4 linked regions of the Saccharomyces cerevisiae S288C genome follow. The gene in region 1 interacts genetically with each later gene. Each region holds a gene or a part of one and is shown in the gene's direction. Other genes may lie near its edges. The genes, in order: YFH7, FIT2, MLG1 and AAD10.

What was found.
Region 2: mutations in YFH7 (region 1) and FIT2 together harm fitness more than expected from each alone (negative genetic interaction), as found in Saccharomyces cerevisiae (one large-scale study listed by BioGRID).
Region 3: mutations in YFH7 (region 1) and MLG1 together harm fitness less than expected from each alone (positive genetic interaction), as found in Saccharomyces cerevisiae (one large-scale study listed by BioGRID).
Region 4: mutations in YFH7 (region 1) and AAD10 together harm fitness more than expected from each alone (negative genetic interaction), as found in Saccharomyces cerevisiae (one large-scale study listed by BioGRID).

Annotation. Positions count from the first base shown.
Region 1 is NC_001138.5:156,708-162,301, forward strand, and holds YFH7 (Yfh7p), read left to right. Parts: upstream 1-2,591; coding exon 2,592-3,653; downstream 3,654-5,594. Other genes in the region: YFR006W (putative Xaa-Pro dipeptidase), read left to right, coding at 1-1,045; FAR7 (Far7p), read left to right, coding at 3,828-4,493. UniProt on the Saccharomyces cerevisiae protein: ATP-dependent kinase that could be involved in endoplasmic reticulum membrane assembly.
Region 2 is NC_001147.6:1,056,257-1,061,431, forward strand, and holds FIT2 (Fit2p), read left to right. Parts: upstream 1-3,274; coding exon 3,275-3,736; downstream 3,737-5,175. Other genes in the region: FRE3 (ferric-chelate reductase), read left to right, coding at 1-1,424; YOR381W-A (uncharacterized protein), read left to right, coding at 2,167-2,334; FIT3 (Fit3p), read right to left, coding at 4,185-4,799. UniProt on the Saccharomyces cerevisiae protein: Involved in the uptake of non-siderophore and siderophore sources of iron. Has a role in the retention of iron in the cell wall and periplasmic space.
Region 3 is NC_001136.10:479,734-485,508, reverse strand, and holds MLG1 (putative acyltransferase), read left to right. Parts: upstream 1-1,648; coding exon 1,649-2,839; downstream 2,840-5,775. Other genes in the region: GCV1 (glycine decarboxylase subunit T), read left to right, coding at 144-1,346; inositol polyphosphate kinase KCS1, read left to right, coding at 3,242-5,775.
Region 4 is NC_001142.9:722,990-728,771, forward strand, and holds AAD10 (putative aryl-alcohol dehydrogenase), read left to right. Parts: upstream 1-4,415; coding exon 4,416-5,282; downstream 5,283-5,782. Other genes in the region: PGU1 (endo-polygalacturonase), read left to right, coding at 1-911; YJR154W (uncharacterized protein), read left to right, coding at 2,795-3,835; THI11 (4-amino-5-hydroxymethyl-2-methylpyrimidine phosphate synthase), read right to left, coding at 5,585-5,782.

The DNA of each region.
Region 1 (5,594 bases):
ATTTAAAGAATTGCAAGACTTCGCTATCTTTACAACCGATTTGGACAATGTTCATGACGAGAATATTGCAAGATCACTAATTCCTTCAGACCCTAACTTCTTTTATGCTATGGATGAAACTAGAGCAATTAAGGATTGGTATGAAATTGAAAGCATCAGAAAAGCTTGTCAGATTTCAGACAAGAGCCATTTGGCCGTTATGTCCGCGTTGCCCATCGAACTGAACGAGTTACAAATACAAGCTGAATTTGAATACCATGCAACCCGTCAAGGTGGTCGTTCTTTGGGCTATGACCCCATTTGTTGTTCTGGACCGGCATGTGGCACTTTACATTACGTCAAGAATTCAGAAGATATCAAAGGTAAACATTCCATCTTAATTGATGCAGGTGCAGAATGGAGACAATATACAAGTGATATCACCAGATGTTTCCCAACTTCAGGCAAGTTTACTGCGGAACATCGTGAAGTTTACGAAACCGTTCTTGACATGCAAAACCAAGCAATGGAAAGGATTAAACCTGGTGCTAAATGGGACGATTTACATGCACTGACACACAAGGTTCTTATTAAACATTTCTTAAGTATGGGTATTTTCAAGAAAGAGTTTTCTGAGGACGAAATCTTTAAAAGAAGAGCTTCTTGCGCTTTTTATCCCCATGGACTAGGGCATATGTTGGGGCTTGATGTACACGACGTTGGTGGTAATCCAAACTATGACGACCCAGATCCAATGTTTAGATATTTAAGAATCCGCCGTCCTTTGAAAGAAAATATGGTTATCACTAATGAACCAGGTTGCTACTTTAATCAATTTTTGATCAAAGAATTTTTGGAAAAGCACCCCGAAAGATTGGAAGTTGTCGATATGAGCGTATTGAAAAGATACATGTATGTCGGTGGTGTTAGAATTGAAGATGATATCCTTGTTACCAAAGATGGTTACGAGAACTTAACTGGTATTACTTCTGACCCTGATGAAATTGAAAAAATCGTTCAAAAAGGTTTGAAGAAACCCCGTTCAGGTTTCCACGTAATCGTTTAGGTATTAACTTTTTTTTACTCGCTTCTAGAAGTTTAGTATATTCTTTTGTACACAGAATTGTATATTTTTTTTATAATCTTGGATTCACCATTTAACTAGATTTGGAAATATAAGGAATGGCACTGAAAAAATTAAGGACCAACCCCGAAGAGCAAAAAATGAATGCGAATTCTGTGGATCGAACACAGGACCTCCAGATAACTTGACCGAAGTTTTTTCTTCAGTCTGGCGCTCTCCCAACTGAGCTAAATCCGCTTCTATTTATGAAAAATTCATTGTTACAGGAACTATAGGACTATAATAACTAGCTGCTAACACCTTTAAATGTGACTTTTCTCATAAGGAAATCTAGCGATTCAGAATTCGAGAATTTTGCAGATTGCAAAGTTTTCTTTTTACCATAATATTTGAGAATGTTGTAAAACTTGAGATAATTATTCGGATGTCATTGTTGATTGAAGATAGCATTCCTATGAGTCGCCCTCGAGGACTTGGATCGAAAAATCTACATAATATTAGTAATTACTATTATTGTTGGAATTGGATAAACCGTCGTCCACCTATTTGAGAAATAGGTAATTATTATATGAGTTATTTGGTTCCTTTTTGTTAAAGTAATAATTTGAAATGCCATCCATTTGGTAATATTCATGTTATTGGCATATTATCATATGCGGTTCAGGAAGATGACATAAAAGTTGAGAAACAGTTATCAACCCTAATGGAAGCTGAAATGCAAGATTGATAATGTAATAGCATAATGAAACATATAAAACGGAATGGGGAATAATCGTAATATTATTATGTAGAACTACCGATTCCATTTTGAGGATTCCTACATCCTCGAGGAGACTTCTAGCATATTCTGTGTACATAATATTATGGTCTTGATCAACAATGCAATCCCAACAGTTATCAAATTATTCAGAAAATTGATCACATTTTCGATAAATCTATTATGAAAGTAAAATTTTGACTCATACCTAAGTTCTCGTTATTCGTTAATCTTATGAACTCATTAACCTTGGCGTTTCAGCATCCGCTATGATTACTAGTGCTTAAACCTTGTTATTCATGCCTCATAATTGATGCCATCTTCTAACCTCGAGCGTGATAAAATTTTTGTAATATGAACACCAATCGGCGGAAGATCATCCCAAAGCCACATATGATGGTGCCTTATAACATTAATAACAACTTCAACTGCTGCATACCGATAATATCTTGACGATTATGCATTCGTGTCCTGATAGCTAATGCCATGAAACAATTCTTTTCAATCGCACTTGCACCTTCGTGAAATAGAAGGGTTATCTGGGCTTATCAGACTTGTCCACAGTTTACATATAATTTTTTTTCTGTATTAAATTTTGTGAGCTTTCTTTTTACTCAAACGAACTGTGTTATTTTTCGTTCATTAAATGCGTACCTTTAAGCATCATCAAGTATTGCTCTTCGGGAAAAATGAAGTAACCTTGTTAGGTTAATTTCACTAGTACTATACATATTTTATCCTGTATCATACCAGAGGATCATTCTAGCCACAATGGTCGATACGCATAAACTAGCAGACGACGTTCTTCAGCTATTGGATAACCGTATCGAAGATAATTATAGGGTTTGTGTTATCCTAGTCGGTTCTCCAGGCTCCGGTAAGTCTACTATTGCGGAAGAACTTTGTCAAATTATAAATGAAAAATATCACACATTTTTGTCAGAGCATCCAAATGTTATTGAGGTTAATGATAGGTTGAAACCTATGGTTAACCTAGTAGACTCTTTAAAGACGCTCCAGCCCAATAAAGTAGCTGAAATGATTGAAAATCAGGGGCTGTTTAAAGATCATGTTGAGGATGTTAATTTTCAACCAGTCAAGTACTCAGCCCTTACATCAAATAATGAAGAATGTACCGCAGTAGTTGCCAGAGGTGGTACTGCGAATGCCATAAGAATCGCAGCAGTTGATAATCCAGTCAATGTTAACAAGTTGGCCCAGGATAGTATCAATATAGCGCAAATAGTCCCAATGGATGGTTTTCACTTATCTCGCAGATGTCTAGACCTATTCAAAGACCCACAAACTGCCCATAAAAGAAGAGGTTCGCCCTCAACGTTTGACAGTAACAATTTCTTACAATTGTGTAAAATTCTAGCCAAGACGTCCCTATGTAAGGTCTCCTCACATCATAAATTTTACTCCACTTCAAGCGTTTTTGAGAAGTTATCCAAAACTTTTAGCCAAACAATTCCTGATATCTTTGTTCCAGGATTTAACCATGCACTAAAAGACCCAACTCCAGATCAGTACTGTATTTCCAAATTTACAAGGATAGTTATACTTGAAGGGTTATACCTACTGTATGACCAAGAAAACTGGAAGAAAATTTACAAAACATTAGCTGATACGGGAGCACTTCTTGTTTATAAGATTGACATAGACTATGAGGCCACCGAAGAAAGGGTGGCCAAAAGGCATTTGCAATCAGGGTTAGTCACGACTATTGCAGAAGGACGAGAGAAGTTTCGCAGCAATGATTTGTTGAATGGCAGGGATATAGATAATCATTTAATTAAGGTAGATAATATCGTCCATATCCGCAACGACTAGAAGGTTAGGCGGAACCTTGTATATATTTTTGTAAAATCGAACTGAATACAGATAATTAAGGCGCGCAAGCAAAAACGGCATTCTTTATGAACTCTGCAGAGGTGCCCTTTATTACGACATATATGGGAAGTAATACATATTGATTCTACAAGAAGTTCAAGCCAAGGTTTAGATATGAGTGACCAAATCAACGTTTTGTCAATGCAACAACAACAACAGCAGCAGCAGCAGCAGCAGCAAGTATATATGTCTCCTCAAGCAGAAAACTTGAATCATATGTACTTGTTAGTTAACAAGCTAGTGAAACAGTTGAGGGAAAATCAAGCAGAAAAGGCGAAAATACTAAGGAACATAGACATATTATCCGGAAGCTTAAACAAGTATGAGACATCTGAAGAACCTCACGATACCACGGAAAATATTGCATTATTTAATAGATTTCTAGAACAAAGAGGGAAAGCTCCTATTACTGAGAAAGAGCAACTAAGCAACAATCTGGATGAAAATGCGAAAGATGACGTTATGCTAGGAGTGTTGAAGCGCCAAAATTCAATGCTCCGGAAAAGTTTACAGGAATCCAAGCAGGTAACCCTTGAATCCATGGATTTATTGTCTTACTCCGAAGACTCTTTAAATTACATTGTCGCCCAATTAAGAGGAAACATTCTAATGCATCATAAAGAGACTATCAAATTGATTAGGCAGAAATTCCAGACGGAGACAATTCCCCTCGAAGATGAAGAGTTCAAGATGTATTTGGAAAATGTTAATGGTCTGCAAAAATTGACAGATATATCTCACACTTATAGATTACTACTGAGGTTACATGCACAAGATTGAAACTTTGCCCTTTTGCTTCCAATGAAAGCAAGATGACAAATATACATGCTTCTTATATTCGAGATTGCGCAAAAATTCGAAGCTCATTTATGAAGGCTTTTTCCATTCTGATATATGTTTATGAAATTGAAAAAGTAACGACGGTGGAACATTTTGCGGGAAAACAACTCACAGAATGTCTTGACGTTCTTTTCCTGCAGTTGCGTGCGTAAGATATCCTAAGCTACTGTATTATTTGCCAAAAATAATAAAATGTTGGAGGAAAGCCTCTATAAATACACAGGATATATATGTTTAATAAACATATATAATTTCCTCAATATTTGCAAAAGCATTTTGTTGTGATGAGAGTCGATTATCGTTTACCGATTAGTATCTATACTATTAATATATTTTCATATAATTAGTATAATCTCATATACGCTGCCAGAAGATAACATGAAAATTAAGAAACAATCATCAGCTTCAATGGAAGTTGAAGTGCAAGGATAAATAATACTATTTAGAAATATGGATTTTCCCTCGTTGACTAGAAGATCTGTGAAGATTGGGTGAATAGTTTAATAATTATTGGATCCCATTATTGATCAAGGCTATAATACTTGACTATTTGGCGAATTTTGAGATAATTGTTGGGATTCCATTGTTGATAAAGGCCATAATATTATGTATACAGGATATACTAGAAGTTCTCCTCGATGATATAGGAATCCTCGAAATGGAATCTATATTTCTACATACTAATATTACGATTATTCCTCATTCCGTTTTATATGTTTCATTATCCTATTGCATTATCAATCCTTGCACTTCAGCTTCCTCTAACTTCGATGACAGCTTCTCATAACTTATGTCATCATCTTTACACCGTATATGATAATATATTGATAATATAACTATTAGTTGATAGACGATAGTGGATTTTTATTCCAACACACTAATTATCATTCGTTACATCTCAAATTGGTTAGAGAAGTTACAAACATTATTATTGATTTATCCAAGGATAGTTTTCACAAGAAAACAAGCGCAAGTGGTTTAGTGGTAAAATCCAACGTTGCCATCGTTGGGCCCCCGGTTCGATTCCGGGCTTGCGCAGTT
Region 2 (5,175 bases), on another chromosome or scaffold:
GCGTCATTATACTTGGATACCTCGTGCTTCATACAGTTTTTCTGGCATACGGGTATCAATATGATCCTTACAACTTAATTTTCGACTCTCGTAGAGAACAGATTGCTCGATACGTGGCAGATAGAAGTGGTGTCCTGGCATTTGCACATTTTCCCCTAATAGCTCTTTTCGCAGGAAGGAACAATTTTCTAGAATTCATTTCTGGAGTAAAATATACCTCTTTCATAATGTTTCATAAGTGGTTGGGAAGAATGATGTTTTTAGATGCTGTGATTCATGGCGCTGCTTATACCAGTTATTCCGTATTCTACAAAGATTGGGCAGCAAGCAAGGAAGAGACATATTGGCAATTTGGAGTAGCTGCTCTTTGTATAGTTGGTGTTATGGTGTTTTTTTCTTTGGCAATGTTCAGAAAGTTTTTCTATGAAGCCTTCTTATTTCTCCATATTGTGCTTGGCGCATTGTTCTTTTATACGTGTTGGGAGCACGTCGTAGAATTGAGTGGGATTGAGTGGATATACGCTGCTATTGCTATCTGGACTATTGATAGGCTAATTCGAATTGTTAGAGTATCTTATTTCGGTTTCCCTAAGGCTTCCTTACAGTTAGTTGGCGATGACATCATTCGAGTCACAGTCAAACGACCAGTAAGGCTATGGAAAGCCAAACCAGGACAGTATGTTTTCGTTTCATTCCTACACCACCTGTATTTTTGGCAGTCACATCCTTTCACAGTCTTAGATTCAATTATCAAAGATGGTGAGCTGACTATTATCCTGAAGGAAAAAAAGGGAGTAACAAAACTTGTCAAAAAGTATGTGTGTTGCAATGGAGGTAAGGCATCTATGAGACTAGCTATAGAAGGTCCATATGGCTCTTCATCTCCAGTCAATAATTATGATAACGTCTTGCTACTTACGGGAGGTACTGGTTTGCCAGGGCCCATTGCACACGCCATTAAACTTGGAAAAACGTCAGCGGCAACTGGAAAACAATTCATAAAATTAGTGATTGCAGTTAGAGGGTTTAACGTACTCGAGGCTTACAAGCCGGAGCTGATGTGTCTAGAAGATCTTAATGTACAGCTTCACATCTACAATACAATGGAAGTTCCGGCATTAACTCCTAATGATAGTTTGGAAATTTCTCAACAAGACGAGAAGGCCGATGGAAAAGGTGTTGTTATGGCAACTACCCTAGAACAGTCACCTAATCCAGTTGAATTTGATGGTACTGTTTTTCATCATGGAAGACCCAATGTTGAAAAGCTTCTGCATGAAGTTGGTGACCTAAATGGATCGTTAGCTGTGGTTTGTTGTGGGCCTCCTGTTTTCGTTGACGAAGTAAGGGATCAAACGGCAAATCTTGTTCTAGAGAAGCCTGCAAAGGCAATCGAATACTTTGAAGAATACCAAAGTTGGTAATCAATTACCTTATTTATTTCCTCACTATTTTACCTATCACAAGTATATATTTAATTGTTTTGACCTGAAACATAATTTATGTCTAGCTGCAATGAAGACAATTGATCGACTTTCACAAACTTTTTCAATCTACTAATCTTTGGAAGCATTTTTTAACTGTCTCCCACTCTTGTTCCATGACTTAAATTTCTCTTCCTCCAAATTAACTGAATTTTTTTTCTGGATTGATGTTCTTTCCAATTGTTGTGGTAATCCACAGCTGGTATAACATAAAAAGAAGTTTTTTGTAAAAAAAAAAAATTTCTCAGTAAGCATATAAGCCTCAGTGAAATAAAATTTTAACAACTACACGCTATTCTATTCCATTTGCCCTGCTTTTCTCGCTTCGTTATCACCTAACCACTAAGAACATACTAATAATACAAAATTTTTATCCACTTTTTACCAACAGATTTTCATGAAATATCCATCTTCTTTCCGAATTCTGTATAAAATGAAAGAGAGATTTTTTGCTCTCAATCCAGGCTCAAGGCTCTTGAGAACAGGTAATTGTTGTTTAGCACGTTTTCAACACATTTATCAGAAAACGACAGTTAAAAATAAGACGAGCGGCGTTATCATCCTGATAGTCACTAAATGAAAAGCAGGTACTTTTGAAGAGCACATGTAATATTTGCTCAACTGATAATACCTTCATTTTATACACACTTCTAATTTTTTTTTTAAAATCAGATACGCATTGATGTTCAATGTAGCATTACCATCACAAGACAAAAAATCAGAATTTTACAAGCAAAAGCGCTTATCTTTAAGGACCAACATATTAGATGAATTCTTAAGGGTTGCCAAAACGCAAGACAACAGGCAAAATAATTTCGTTTCTCAGTACCGAAATGACGAAATATACTGAGGCAAATGCGATCATCATGCCTTTGCGCCAAGAAACTCCCTTGTGAAGAACTTCAAACCGAAATGGGAAAACTTTGAGTTATTGACAGGGAATACGGAGGGGAAGATCACACTTAAATCCGTATGAGCCGCGCACATAATGGTATTCAAATACACAAGAACATTCATGAGCTATTTTTCATCCGTGCAAACGAATTTACTACAATTGGACCAGAGGGCACCATAACTGGAGACTTTGCTACTGACTCAACGTTGATGATGCGAGTAGTGGGTGTACTGTGATTTGCTCATTTTTTTTTTTATAGAAAGATTCGATTAATGAAAGTCACAGGAGACATTTTTACATAGACATTCCGTATATGTTGCGGGTATCGCGGATGCGGATTAGTGATGCCTTTAACTACATTTCATAGATTTCTGTATACCAATTGAAATGAGTGAAGTAAGCTCCTACAGTGAAATATCTGGGTGCTACTGACGCCAAGCCCTACAGCGATCGGAATGCGGGAACGGAAGTTAACGGGGCTTCCAGAACGGCGGAAGCGAATTGAACGAGGACGGCAAACAAAAACACCCAAAATTTCATTACTTAGAATGACCCTCAAGAGCAGGGTGCAATTTATCAAGCGATCATTGAACTAACTAAGTTCATATCCTGTATAGGATTTAAAACAATGCACCCTAAGTTCAAATGCACCCCCCCTCGCCCCGCAGCGGACCCTTGAACAGAGAACTGTTTCGAGGTTCACCCAATTGGATCACTTGTATAATTTGTAATCGAGTTCGGATAAGATGTATACGAATCTAACTGGGTGCAGTATAATTAGCATTTTATATTACCTAGCAATATATGTATAAAACAGGAATGTGTGCGTGCTTCAGGCAGAATTTTACGGTCCTTGTAAAAAAGTCTATCATAAAGCCATCACAAAACAATAATAATGAAATTCTCAACTATTTTCGGAGCTACTACAGTTATGACTGCCGTCTCGGCAGCAGCTGTGTCGAGTGTAATGACCACTAAGACTATTACTGCTACTAACGGTAATAACGTTTACACTAAGGTCGTTACCGACACCGCTGACCCTATCATTAGTTACAGTACCACTAGAACTGTCGTTGTCAGTAATAGTGATGCTACTTACACAAAGGTTGTCACCGAAGGACCAGATACCACCTCTGAAAAGAGTACAACAAAGACACTTACTTTGACAAACGGTTCAGGTTCATCAACCAACCTTTACACCAAGACCGTCACTCAAGCCGTCGAATCATCTACATCCTCCTCATCCTCCTCATCCTCCTCCTCCTCTTCTGCCTCTTCTTCTGGTGCTGCTCCTGCTGCATTCCAAGGAGCAAGTGTCGGTGCATTGGCCCTTGGTTTGATTTCTTACCTATTATAAGCTCGGTTTCAAACCAGAAAAAAGCTATTAGTTATCGTGTATAGCATATTTATAACTTATCTATGAAAAGCTAATATAATTGTCTTTCTCCTTCAAAAGGCTAGTAAAAAGGACTTTTTTTCATTACGTTTCTCAGTGACTTCAATGTAGCAGTTTTTCGTTTCATCATCATCATCGTATTATTATTATTGTTATTATTATTATTATCATTACTTTTATTAATATTAACTATTTTTTTAGTATGATTTCGGGTATATTTATTTTAATTAGATACTTTTAACCGTTTCAAACAATTAAAGGAAGACCAACGAACTTGAAACAGTATATATACATACATACTTAATGTGTGTTATTAAAATTTTTTTATTCTAACATAACTTCGAAAAAAGGCCAAGCCGCAAGGTGCTTCATAAAAATCGGATATCCCGCATGATTATTCACATATCATTTACAATAACATGACGGCAGCAAGGGCAGCACCCATCAAACCAGTACCAGCGGTGATGGCATCAGCAGCACCGGTGTAACTAGATAATTCAGCGGTGCTAGAGGATGTAGCAGAGGAAGAAGTTTCAGCAGTGGTGGTTGCAGTGGTTGAAGCAGAAGAGGTAGCAGCTTCTGAGCTGGTAGAAGTACTACTTGGAGACCAGGTGTTGCTGCTGCCTTCACCAGTCCAGACAAAAGTAGCATCTTGGGTGACAGTCTTAGTGTAGACGTGACCGTTCTTGGTGGCAGTGATAGTGGTAGTGATACTAGAACCAGAACCTTCATCAGCAGAAGAAGTCTCAGCAGCAGAAGAAGTCTCAGCAGCAGAAGTGGTAGCGGCAGCAGAAGTGGTAGCGGCAGCAGAGGTTTCGGCGGCAGAAGTTTCGGCGGCAGAAGATTCAGCGGCAGAAGTGCTGCTGGCGTAAGAGTCTTCACCACCCCAAACAAAAGTAGCATCTTGGGTGACAGTCTTAGTGTAGACATGACCGTTCTTGGTGGCAGTGATGGTGGTGGTGATACTCTCAGCAAGAGCAGTAGCGGCAACAGCAGATAGAACCAAAGCGGAAGAGAATTTCATTTTAGGGATTATTGTTATTAGTTATTTTTAAGCGAGTGGAAGTACTTGTTTGTATCTGTTCGAACATTCATATTACCTCCTAATACTTCAAATAGTTCTTGGCTTAAATACCCCATAAATCAACTTTTACAAAAAAAAAAATAACAAATCTCGAACGATAATTGAACCCCATTTTTTTGCACCCTTTCCTAGAATGGCGGAACTCGGCTCTTGAGCCCTTAGATTGCTTTCCTTCACATACATCAAAAAATATGGGATAGCGGGGTGCGGAACAAACAGGGTGCAAAAAAAAATCTAGGACATAGGTAGGACTAAGAAGACTGTGGCATTACTACACAGCAATCATATTTTACCGCTTCCTCGTTTAATTGGATTT
Region 3 (5,775 bases), on another chromosome or scaffold:
TGACTCGTGTTGCCTCGAGTAAACGGTATGTCAAAAAGAATAGGTCCAAATATCATATATATAGCACCTTGAACCCAAACAAATCCAATTACAGTACCCGTAGCTCACATATGTAGAAAGAGCTTTGCCTGGCACAAGCAATAATGTCTATAATCAAAAAAATTGTGTTTAAGAGATTCAACTCAACTTTGAAAAAAACTGCTCTTCATGACCTTCATGTGTCATTAGGCGGTACAATGGTACCATACGCAGGATATTCCATGCCCGTACTATACAAGGGACAGACTCATATTGAATCACATAATTGGACCAGGACAAACGCTGGTTTATTTGATGTTTCTCATATGTTACAAAGTAAGTTATCTGGTCCTCATTCTGTTAAGTTTCTGCAACGTGTAACGCCCACAGATTTCAATGCCTTGCCTGTTGGGTCAGGGACCTTAAGTGTTCTATTAAATCCACAGGGAGGCGTGGTAGACGATACCATCATCACTAAAGAAAACGATGACAATGAGTTCTATATTGTGACCAATGCTGGCTGTGCGGAAAGAGACACCGAGTTCTTTCACGATGAGCTACAAAATGGTTCTACTTTAGATTGTCAATGGAAAATCATTGAAGGTAGATCACTATTGGCATTGCAGGGTCCTAAAGCAAAAGATGTGTTGGAACCACTTTTATCAAAAACAGCTCCTGGAAAGGATCTAAAAGAGTTATTTTTTGGACAAAGACATGAATTTGCGTTAAAGGACGGTTCTTTGGTTCAAATTGCTAGAGGCGGGTACACTGGTGAAGATGGATTTGAGATAAGCATTGCAAATGAGAAAGCGGTTGAGTTTGCGGAGCAACTCTTGGCCAATCCAGTAATGAAGCCTATCGGACTGGCTGCTAGAGACAGTTTAAGGTTGGAAGCTGGTATGTGTTTGTATGGTCATGAATTGGACGAAAGTATCACACCAGTAGAAGCTGCGTTAAACTGGGTGATTTCAAAGTCAAGAAGGGACCTAGTAGATCAAAAGTACTGGTTCAATGGCTATGCCAAGATAATGGACCAGCTAAACAATAAAACGTATAGCAAGGTACGAGTCGGATTCAAATACTTGAAAAAGGGGCCAGCTGCCAGAAATGGTGTCAAGATCTTCTTGCCCGATGCCGAAACAGAGGTCGGCCTTGTTACATCAGGTAGTGCATCTCCAACTTTAAACAACATCAATATTGGACAAGCTTATGTACAGAAAGGTTACCACAAGAAGGGAACGAAGTTGCTTGTTCAAGTAAGGAACAAGTTCTACCCGATTGAACTTGCTAAAATGCCTCTTGTGCCCACACATTACTACAAGCAGTAAACTGAGCGAAATAATATTCAGTTGATAATGCGTTTATTAAGAAAAGAAAAAGAGTAAAAAAATAATTTGCTATTTTGATCTAGTAAAGACAAATACAAAGATGCTTACGCTCAATTCCTTTATTTTTTTATATTTATGTAGCTTTTTGTATATTCTTAAGGACTTGTTTGATCTTTTACCCCTTCGCGTGGAGATAGGCTGCGCGGTTACTTTTATTAGAACGTACCCCAGATCTGTCCGTCGAAGGTTAAAGAAATGAACAAACAACCCTACGTACGACTGTGTTTTGCAGTTTAAGAAGGATGAAGCATTCCCAAAAATACCGTAGGTATGGAATTTATGAAAAGACTGGTAATCCCTTTATAAAAGGGTTGCAAAGGCTGCTTATCGCTTGCTTGTTCATTTCAGGCTCGCTGAGTATTGTCGTTTTTCAGATCTGTCTACAGGTGCTTCTCCCTTGGAGCAAGATTAGATTTCAAAATGGTATAAATCAAAGTAAGAAGGCTTTTATCGTTTTATTATGCATGATCTTGAACATGGTGGCTCCCTCTTCTTTGAATGTCACTTTTGAAACATCGCGGCCATTGAAGAACTCTTCTAACGCCAAGCCATGCTTTAGATTTAAAGACAGGGCTATAATAATTGCAAATCATCAAATGTATGCAGACTGGATTTATCTCTGGTGGCTTTCCTTTGTTTCAAATTTGGGTGGTAACGTTTATATCATCCTGAAGAAAGCTCTGCAGTACATACCATTACTGGGATTTGGCATGCGAAATTTTAAGTTTATATTTTTAAGTAGGAACTGGCAAAAGGATGAGAAAGCTTTAACAAATAGTTTGGTTTCTATGGACTTAAACGCGAGGTGCAAGGGGCCCCTTACAAATTATAAGAGTTGTTATTCCAAGACAAATGAATCCATTGCCGCTTATAATTTAATCATGTTCCCTGAGGGTACAAATCTAAGCCTCAAGACAAGAGAAAAAAGCGAGGCATTCTGTCAAAGAGCACATTTGGACCATGTCCAATTAAGACATTTGTTATTACCGCACTCTAAAGGCTTGAAGTTTGCAGTAGAAAAACTAGCTCCTAGTTTAGATGCTATCTACGATGTCACTATTGGATATTCTCCCGCCTTGAGAACGGAATACGTCGGCACCAAATTCACCTTGAAGAAAATATTCTTAATGGGTGTCTATCCGGAGAAAGTAGATTTTTATATTAGGGAATTTAGAGTTAATGAGATCCCTTTGCAAGATGACGAAGTTTTTTTCAATTGGTTACTGGGCGTGTGGAAAGAAAAAGATCAACTGCTAGAAGACTACTACAACACAGGCCAATTTAAAAGTAATGCTAAAAATGACAACCAATCCATCGTTGTTACGACACAAACGACTGGATTTCAGCACGAAACATTGACACCCCGTATCCTTTCATATTACGGGTTCTTCGCTTTTCTTATTCTTGTATTTGTGATGAAAAAAAATCATTGATTTAACCTTAAACCAAACATAATTAAACCTGTATTTCATATATTATTTCCACTTAGCTTAGCCATCCACAACGGTAAAGTTACAAATATATAAGTAATAGTTGCTTTCATAAAAATTATTAACACTTCTTTCGAACTCATCGCAGAAGTGTCGCCGGCCCCTCAACTTCGCGCCGTATCGCTTTTTTTTTTTTTTTTCAATACAGGATCAAGACGAAAAACACTTTTCTGTTCTTGTTTGTCTCTGTTGGTTGGATTATATCTCCAACAAAAGGGAAAATCCCAGTTTGACCTTATTATATTAGAATTGTCTTTTGTCTTCTTTCTTTCATTTTGTACATCTTTCTGTCTTCTCAAATCTTTTTTTTATTTTTTGTATATATAAAACTAAAGCTAAAAGACTATGGATACCTCTCACGAAATTCATGATAAAATACCCGATACATTAAGAGAGCAGCAGCAGCATTTGCGCCAAAAAGAGTCGGAAGGGTGCATAACAACATTGAAAGATCTTAATGTACCTGAGACGAAGAAACTTTCCTCCGTCTTACATGGCAGAAAGGCGAGTACATATTTAAGAATTTTTAGAGATGATGAATGTTTAGCCGATAACAACAATGGTGTAGATAGCAATAATGGCGGGTCCGTGACATGCGCGGACAAAATAACAAGGTCAGAAGCAACTCCCAAATCGGTACCAGAAGGACTACAAGTTTCTGAAAAAAAGAATAACCCAGATACTTTGTCCTCTTCATTGTCAAGTTTCATTTTATCTAACCACGAGGAGCCGGCAATTAAGCCCAATAAACACGTGGCGCATAGAAATAATATTACTGAGACAGGTCAAGGCTCTGGTGAGGATATCGCAAAACAACAATCACACCAACCACAGGTGTTACACCACCAGACTTCTTTAAAGCCAATTCAGAATGTTGATGAGGGATGTATTTCGCCTAAGTCCACTTATCAGGAGAGCTTACATGGAATATCGGAGGACTTAACGTTAAAGCCTGTTTCTTCTGCAACATACTATCCTCACAAAAGTAAAGCAGATTCTGGTTATGAAGAAAAGGATAAAATGGAAAATGATATTGATACTATTCAGCCTGCCACCATAAATTGTGCCTCTGGTATAGCGACACTTCCTAGTTCATATAACCGACATACTTTCAAAGTTAAGACATATTCAACTTTATCACAATCCCTAAGGCAAGAAAACGTCAACAATCGTAGTAACGAAAAAAAACCTCAACAGTTTGTGCCACATAGCGAATCAATTAAAGAAAAACCCAATACGTTTGAACAAGATAAAGAAGGCGAGCAAGCGGACGAAGAAGAGGATGAAGGTGATAATGAACATAGGGAATATCCCCTAGCAGTTGAACTAAAACCATTTACGAATAGAGTTGGAGGTCACACTGCAATATTCAGATTTTCGAAGAGAGCGGTTTGTAAGGCTCTAGTGAATAGAGAAAACAGGTGGTATGAGAATATAGAGCTGTGCCATAAAGAATTATTGCAATTCATGCCACGTTATATTGGTGTCCTGAATGTTAGGCAACATTTTCAGTCAAAAGATGACTTTTTAAGCGATTTGGATCAAGAAAACAACGGTAAAAATGATACCAGTAATGAAAACAAAGACATAGAAGTCAATCATAACAATAACGACGATATTGCGCTTAATACAGAACCCACGGGGACCCCCTTAACACACATACATTCCTTCCCCTTGGAACATTCGTCGAGACAAGTACTTGAAAAAGAGCATCCTGAAATTGAGTCTGTCCATCCACACGTGAAAAGATCACTGTCAAGTTCCAACCAACCTTCCTTGTTGCCCGAGGTTGTATTAAATGATAACAGGCATATTATACCGGAATCTCTGTGGTACAAATATTCCGATTCTCCAAACTCGGCACCGAATGATTCGTACTTTTCGTCCTCCTCTTCTCATAACTCATGTTCGTTCGGTGAGCGTGGCAATACAAATAAATTAAAAAGACGCGATTCTGGGTCCACCATGATCAATACTGAATTGAAGAACCTAGTCATAAGGGAAGTATTTGCACCGAAATGTTTTAGAAGGAAAAGAAACTCTAATACGACTACAATGGGAAACCATAATGCGCGTTTGGGTTCCAGTCCATCTTTTTTAACACAAAAATCAAGAGCCTCGTCCCATGATGCATCGAATACGTCTATGAAGACTCTTGGTGATTCATCGTCACAAGCGAGTTTACAGATGGATGACTCGAAAGTCAATCCGAATTTGCAGGATCCTTTCTTGAAAAAATCGCTTCATGAAAAAATATCTAATGCTTTAGATGGCTCGCATTCAGTAATGGATTTGAAGCAATTCCACAAAAACGAACAAATAAAACATAAAAACTCTTTCTGCAACTCTTTATCACCCATTCTCACTGCAACCAATTCTAGAGATGATGGCGAATTTGCCACCTCCCCGAATTATATCAGCAACGCACAAGATGGTGTTTTTGATATGGATGAAGATACGGGAAACGAAACTATAAATATGGATAACCACGGCTGCCATCTTGACTCTGGTAAAAACATGATTATAAAGTCATTGGCGTATAATGTTTCAAATGACTATAGTCATCATGATATTGAATCAATTACGTTTGAGGAGACGTCCCACACCATTGTTTCAAAATTTATCTTATTGGAAGATTTGACAAGAAACATGAACAAGCCTTGTGCACTGGATCTAAAGATGGGGACAAGACAATATGGCGTAGACGCCAAAAGAGCCAAGCAACTGTCACAGCGTGCAAAGTGTTTAAAGACCACTTCTAGGCGTTTAGGCGTTAGAATCTGCGGATTAAAGGTTTGGAACAAAGATTATTATATCACAAGAGATAAATACTTTGGTAGAAGGGTTAAGGTTGGTTGGCAATTTGCTAGGGTACTTGC
Region 4 (5,782 bases), on another chromosome or scaffold:
TAGATTTAACTGGGTTAAGCAGTGGTACTACTGTTACGTTTGAAGGCACAACCACATTTCAGTACAAGGAATGGAGCGGCCCTTTAATTTCAATCTCAGGGTCTAAAATCAGCGTTGTTGGTGCTTCGGGACATACCATTGATGGTCAAGGAGCAAAATGGTGGGATGGCTTAGGTGATAGCGGTAAAGTCAAACCGAAGTTTGTAAAGTTGGCGTTGACGGGAACATCTAAGGTCACCGGATTGAATATTAAAAATGCTCCACACCAAGTCTTCAGCATCAATAAATGTTCAGATTTAACCATCAGCGACATAACAATTGATATCAGAGACGGTGATTCGGCTGGTGGTCATAATACGGATGGGTTTGATGTTGGTAGTTCTAGTAACGTCTTAATTCAAGGATGTACTGTTTATAATCAGGATGACTGTATTGCTGTGAATTCCGGTTCAACTATTAAATTTATGAACAACTACTGCTACAATGGCCATGGTATTTCTGTAGGTTCTGTTGGTGGCCGTTCTGATAATACAGTCAATGGTTTCTGGGCTGAAAATAACCATGTTATCAACTCTGACAACGGGTTGAGAATAAAAACCGTAGAAGGTGCGACAGGCACAGTCACTAATGTCAACTTTATCAGTAATAAAATTAGCGGCATAAAAAGTTATGGTATTGTTATCGAAGGCGATTATTTGAATAGTAAGACTACTGGAACTGCTACAGGTGGCGTTCCCATTTCGAATTTAGTAATGAAGGATATCACCGGGAGCGTGAACTCCACAGCGAAGAGGGTTAAAATTTTGGTGAAAAACGCTACTAACTGGCAATGGTCTGGGGTGTCAATTACCGGTGGTTCTTCCTATTCTGGATGTTCTGGAATCCCATCTGGATCTGGTGCAAGCTGTTAATCCTCTTTTAAAGTACTCATATGACTATACATACCTTCTTTTCTTTTCTTTACTATTCAATACATAACAGAACAAAGATGCAGGAAAATATTGGTATTTGTTCGGCAATTTATGCTGGGTTTTTTTGTAAATTCAGGTCTAATTATTACTGTTGATTTGTATCAAGTTGGTATCTTTTTTGCCATTTAATAATAGAGATACGCTATGCTCATCCGGATAGCAACAATGAGAGCCTAAAAGTCCTAATTGAGAAGAAAATCTCTGTTCAAGACTATAGTTTATGTTTCATTCTGGACCCTTGGGATCGTCTGAAACAGGAAGGTCAATAATTGGTAAAAAAAATGGTAAATGCGACTAAGTACTACAATTGAAACGAATGAGCGCACTTCATCTGCCTACAAAACGCTGCGGCTGAAAAAGTTACATAAAAAACCGTCCTCAATAGCGTTAATCCAGCGTACATGAGAAAGTAATGACAAAGTCTTCGGTAATATCAGTGCATCTACCAATATGACACAATTGTGAAACTTCGCTGACTCAAATAATAGCCCTGTTTTTTTGACCATTGTTACCCATCGAGCCAGTGAGAAAAAAGCCAAAATATCTTTAAGGCCTTCTCCATTTTATGTTTATCGATATTGTGTTGTCTGCAATATTGAAATTTTAAAGGCTATTTACTTTGCCTCTTGTTATAAACTAAGTCTGCCGAATTATGCAATATATAGCAAAAGCTGAAAATAGATGTAATTACATAATTCGCAGTTGTATATGAGTATCCTTAACTCGTACATTCCAGTTCATCTGTGACAAGGCACTGTTTTCCCTAATAATTATTAGGGAAACGTCCTTCAAAAATCAAAATAATTTTAGAGAGTCTCATCAACCTTCGCCATAGTTCGTGATGAAAACTTTACGGTACGTCAGACTTTAGATATTGATTTTTTTATTATTTCTCCCATCGTGAGTACAATTACCCTAGTTCGAACTATATCTTTCATTACTGGCGGAAAAAAAATTCAACGAATGTTCTTGGCTCAATATAGCTTAGTATTTATGTTTAAAGAATTTGTAATATGCGTTACTAGTAATTCCTTTGAATTTTTGAATGCTTTAACTGTGAGTTGGCGTACATGCAGAAACGGCCGTTTAAAATTTTACCGATTGCAGTGACAGAAAAGCTAGTTGAATATTTGTTTACATAAGCGATTCAGATAGACCCCTAATAATATCAAGCTAGATATGCCTGTTGGAAACTTCTCAAAACCTGCGCTAGACGTCCCACGCAATCAACTTACAGATATGTCAGTGCTAGGGAAAAGCCATAGAATGTTGAAAAAAGCGAAAAGGGTTTACTAACTTAGGCAGGTTGAAAAGCTTCTCGAAAAATAATACCTTTTGGTAAAACAACGTAAAGAAGTACTGCCATAACGTAGAATTCTGCAGTTATGAACATACTACAGGCGAAATTGCTAAAATTAATGAGGATAGTCAAAATTGGGTTATGAATCAAAGTTTTTTATAGATTTTCAGCACCGGTGTGGCTAGTAGTCGTCCATACATGACTCAAAGAAAAAAAAAATAAGTGACATAACGCGAAGTGAGGCATTATTGGGCTGCTAAAGAATTTTACGTTGGAAAAGAGGCAAGATTGTCTCATTTTCCTTCAAAATGAAGGTACTGCTGCCCCGGAGTAATAGTAATTTATTCTCAACAGAAATAGAATATTTAATTAATCAGAGTCTAACATTAAGGTCATGTGTTGATAGCAGGTGACGCGTCTGTAAAACTAATAAAGTATATAAAGCACATCCATGAGATCTTAAGACGAGAGATTTCCCCTACTCAAAGTACAAGCAGGACAGATTCAAAACGCAATCCATACGATGAACACAGATTCACACAACCTTAGTGAGCCATACAATATAGGTGGCCAAAAATACATTAATATGAAAAAAAAGGAAGATCTTGGCGTATGCCAGCCTGGCTTAACGCAAAAGGCATTCACAGTCGAAGACAAGTTCGATTACAAAGCAATTATTGAAAAAATGGAAGTATACGGACTTTGCGTGGTCAAGAATTTTATAGAGACCTCCAGATGTGATGAAATATTGAAAGAAATCGAACCGCATTTTTATAGATACGAATCATGGCAAGGCTCACCGTTTCCTAAGGAAACTACTGTGGCAACGAGATCGGTTTTACACTCATCTACAGTCTTAAAGGATGTGGTATGCGACCGTATGTTTTGTGATATCTCAAAACATTTTTTGAATGAAGAAAACTACTTTGCGGCGGGAAAGGTGATTAATAAATGCACTAGTGATATTCAACTGAACTCCGGTATAGTCTACAAGGTTGGCGCTGGTGCAAGTGACCAGGGCTACCACCGAGAAGATATTGTTCATCATACGACCCATCAAGCATGTGAACGTTTCCAGTATGGAACCGAAACCATGGTAGGGTTAGGTGTAGCTTTTACAGATATGAATAAAGAAAATGGCTCTACGCGAATGATAGTCGGTTCACATTTGTGGGGTCCGCACGATTCCTGTGGGAACTTTGACAAGAGGATGGAATTTCACGTTAATGTTGCAAAGGGAGACGCAGTTCTATTCTTAGGGAGCCTCTACCATGCAGCCAGTGCAAATCGTACGTCACAAGACAGAGTTGCTGGATATTTTTTTATGACAAAGAGCTACTTGAAACCAGAGGAAAATCTTCACTTAGGGACTGATTTGCGAGTGTTTAAGGGTTTACCATTGGAAGCCTTGCAACTGTTGGGGCTCGGAATTAGTGAGCCATTTTGTGGTCACATAGATTATAAGAGTCCAGGACATCTTATCAGTTCTAGTTTGTTTGAAAATGATATCGAAAAGGGGTACTATGGAGAGACAATAAGGGTGAATTATGGGTCCACGCAATAATCATTGTAACGGGAAAACATATCACCACAAGTTCGCTGTAAATGTGCAGACTGGGTGGCATGCTTCAAAAGCCTATTCTAGTACTTCCCTGCTGTTTTCGCACGGAACCGGTAAGAAAACTTCGTACCGAAATCGAACAACTTTCATTACTTGCACTTGTACAAATTTAAGGGAGCGGGATTTTAAAACATATAAAAGGATAGTGGCACAACTAGGAATAAGGTGTATTACCCAATATGATTCTCACCTTCGGTTGGGGACTGGTTAATTAATTGAATAGCTTCATAACCCACCGCCGCAAAATGTGCTCTTCGAAATGTCTGAGGCTTTTGGACCTGCACCTGAACCACCTACCGAGTTAGGACGTCTTAGGGTCCTATCTAAAACAGCTGGTATAAGAGTTTCTCCACTAATCCTGGGAGGTATGTCTATTGGTGACGCCTGGTCTGGATTCATGGGATCAATGGACAAAGAACAAGCTTTTGAGCTACTTGATGCTTTTTACCAAGCAGGCGGAAATTTCATTGATACTGCAAATAATTATTAGTATGAGCAGTCAGAGACTTGGATCGGTGAATGGATGGCATCAAGAAAACTGCGTGACCAGATTGTAATTGCCACTAAATTTACCACGGATTATAAGGGGTATGATGTAGGCAAGGGGAAGAGTGCCAATTTCTGTGGGAATCACAAGCGCAGTTTGCATGTAAGTGTGAGAGATTCCCTTCGTAAGTTGCAAACTGATTGGATTGATATTCTTTACGTTCACTGGTGGGATTATATGAGCTCCATTGAGGAAGTTATGGATAGTTTGCACATTCTTGTGCAGCAGGGCAAAGTACTCTATCTAGGTGTGTCTGATACTCCTGCCTGGGTTGTTTCTGCAGCAAATTACTACGCCACATCTCATGGTAAAACTCCCTTTAGTATCTATCAAGGTAAATGGAATGTATTGAACAGGGACTTTGAACGTGATATCATTCCAATGGCTAGGCATTTTGGTATGGCTCTTGCTCCATGGGATGTTATGGGAGGCGGGAGATTTCAGAGTAAAAAGGCAGTGGAAGAGCGGAAGAAGAAAGGAGAAGGCTTGCGTACCTTTTTTGGTACTTCGGAACAGACGGATATGGAGGTTAAAATCAGCGAAGCATTGTTAAAAGTTGCGGAAGAACATGGCACTGAGTCTGTCACTGCTATTGCCATAGCTTATGTTCGGTCTAAAGCGAAACATGTTTTCCCATTAGTGGGAGGAAGAAAGATCGAACATCTCAAACAGAACATTGAGGCTTTGAGCATTAAATTAACACCAGAACAAATAAAGTACTTAGAAAGTATTGTTCCTTTTGATGTCGGATTTCCCACTAATTTTATTGGAGATGACCCAGCTGTTACCAAGAAACCTTCATTTCTCACCGAAATGTCTGCCAAGATTAGCTTCGAAGATTAGTCAAATCAATAGTTTTAGTATGTTCATAATGTGAAAAATGTTTATATATACGCTTACACACACAGTTTGATGATTCAAATACTTAGAGAAAACTTTGCCGCTCATGCATTTGCAGGCATCTTTTATTGTGTTGATTTTGCGAGGAAATAAAGTGTTAAGATAAAGGGAGTTCATTTAAAGCTTGTATACATGCTCTGATACATAAATATGTATGTCTATATATCGAGTAGGAAACAACAGCTAATGTGAAATCATAAACAAGTCGTAGAGGAAGGCTGGGCTGAACGAGTGACGAAGCACGTTTAAGCTGGAAGAGCCAATCTCTTGAAAGTACCTTCCTGTCTGCATTTTTCTTGATGAATAGCCATCAATCTTTGAGCTTCCAAAGGATCAGAAACCTCTTCTGGTTCTGGCCAGGACAAGTATTCATTAGTGTAGTTCGAGACATAGTCTGGTGGCAGAATGGCTAATCTCTTACCGTAACCGGTAACCTTCTTCCA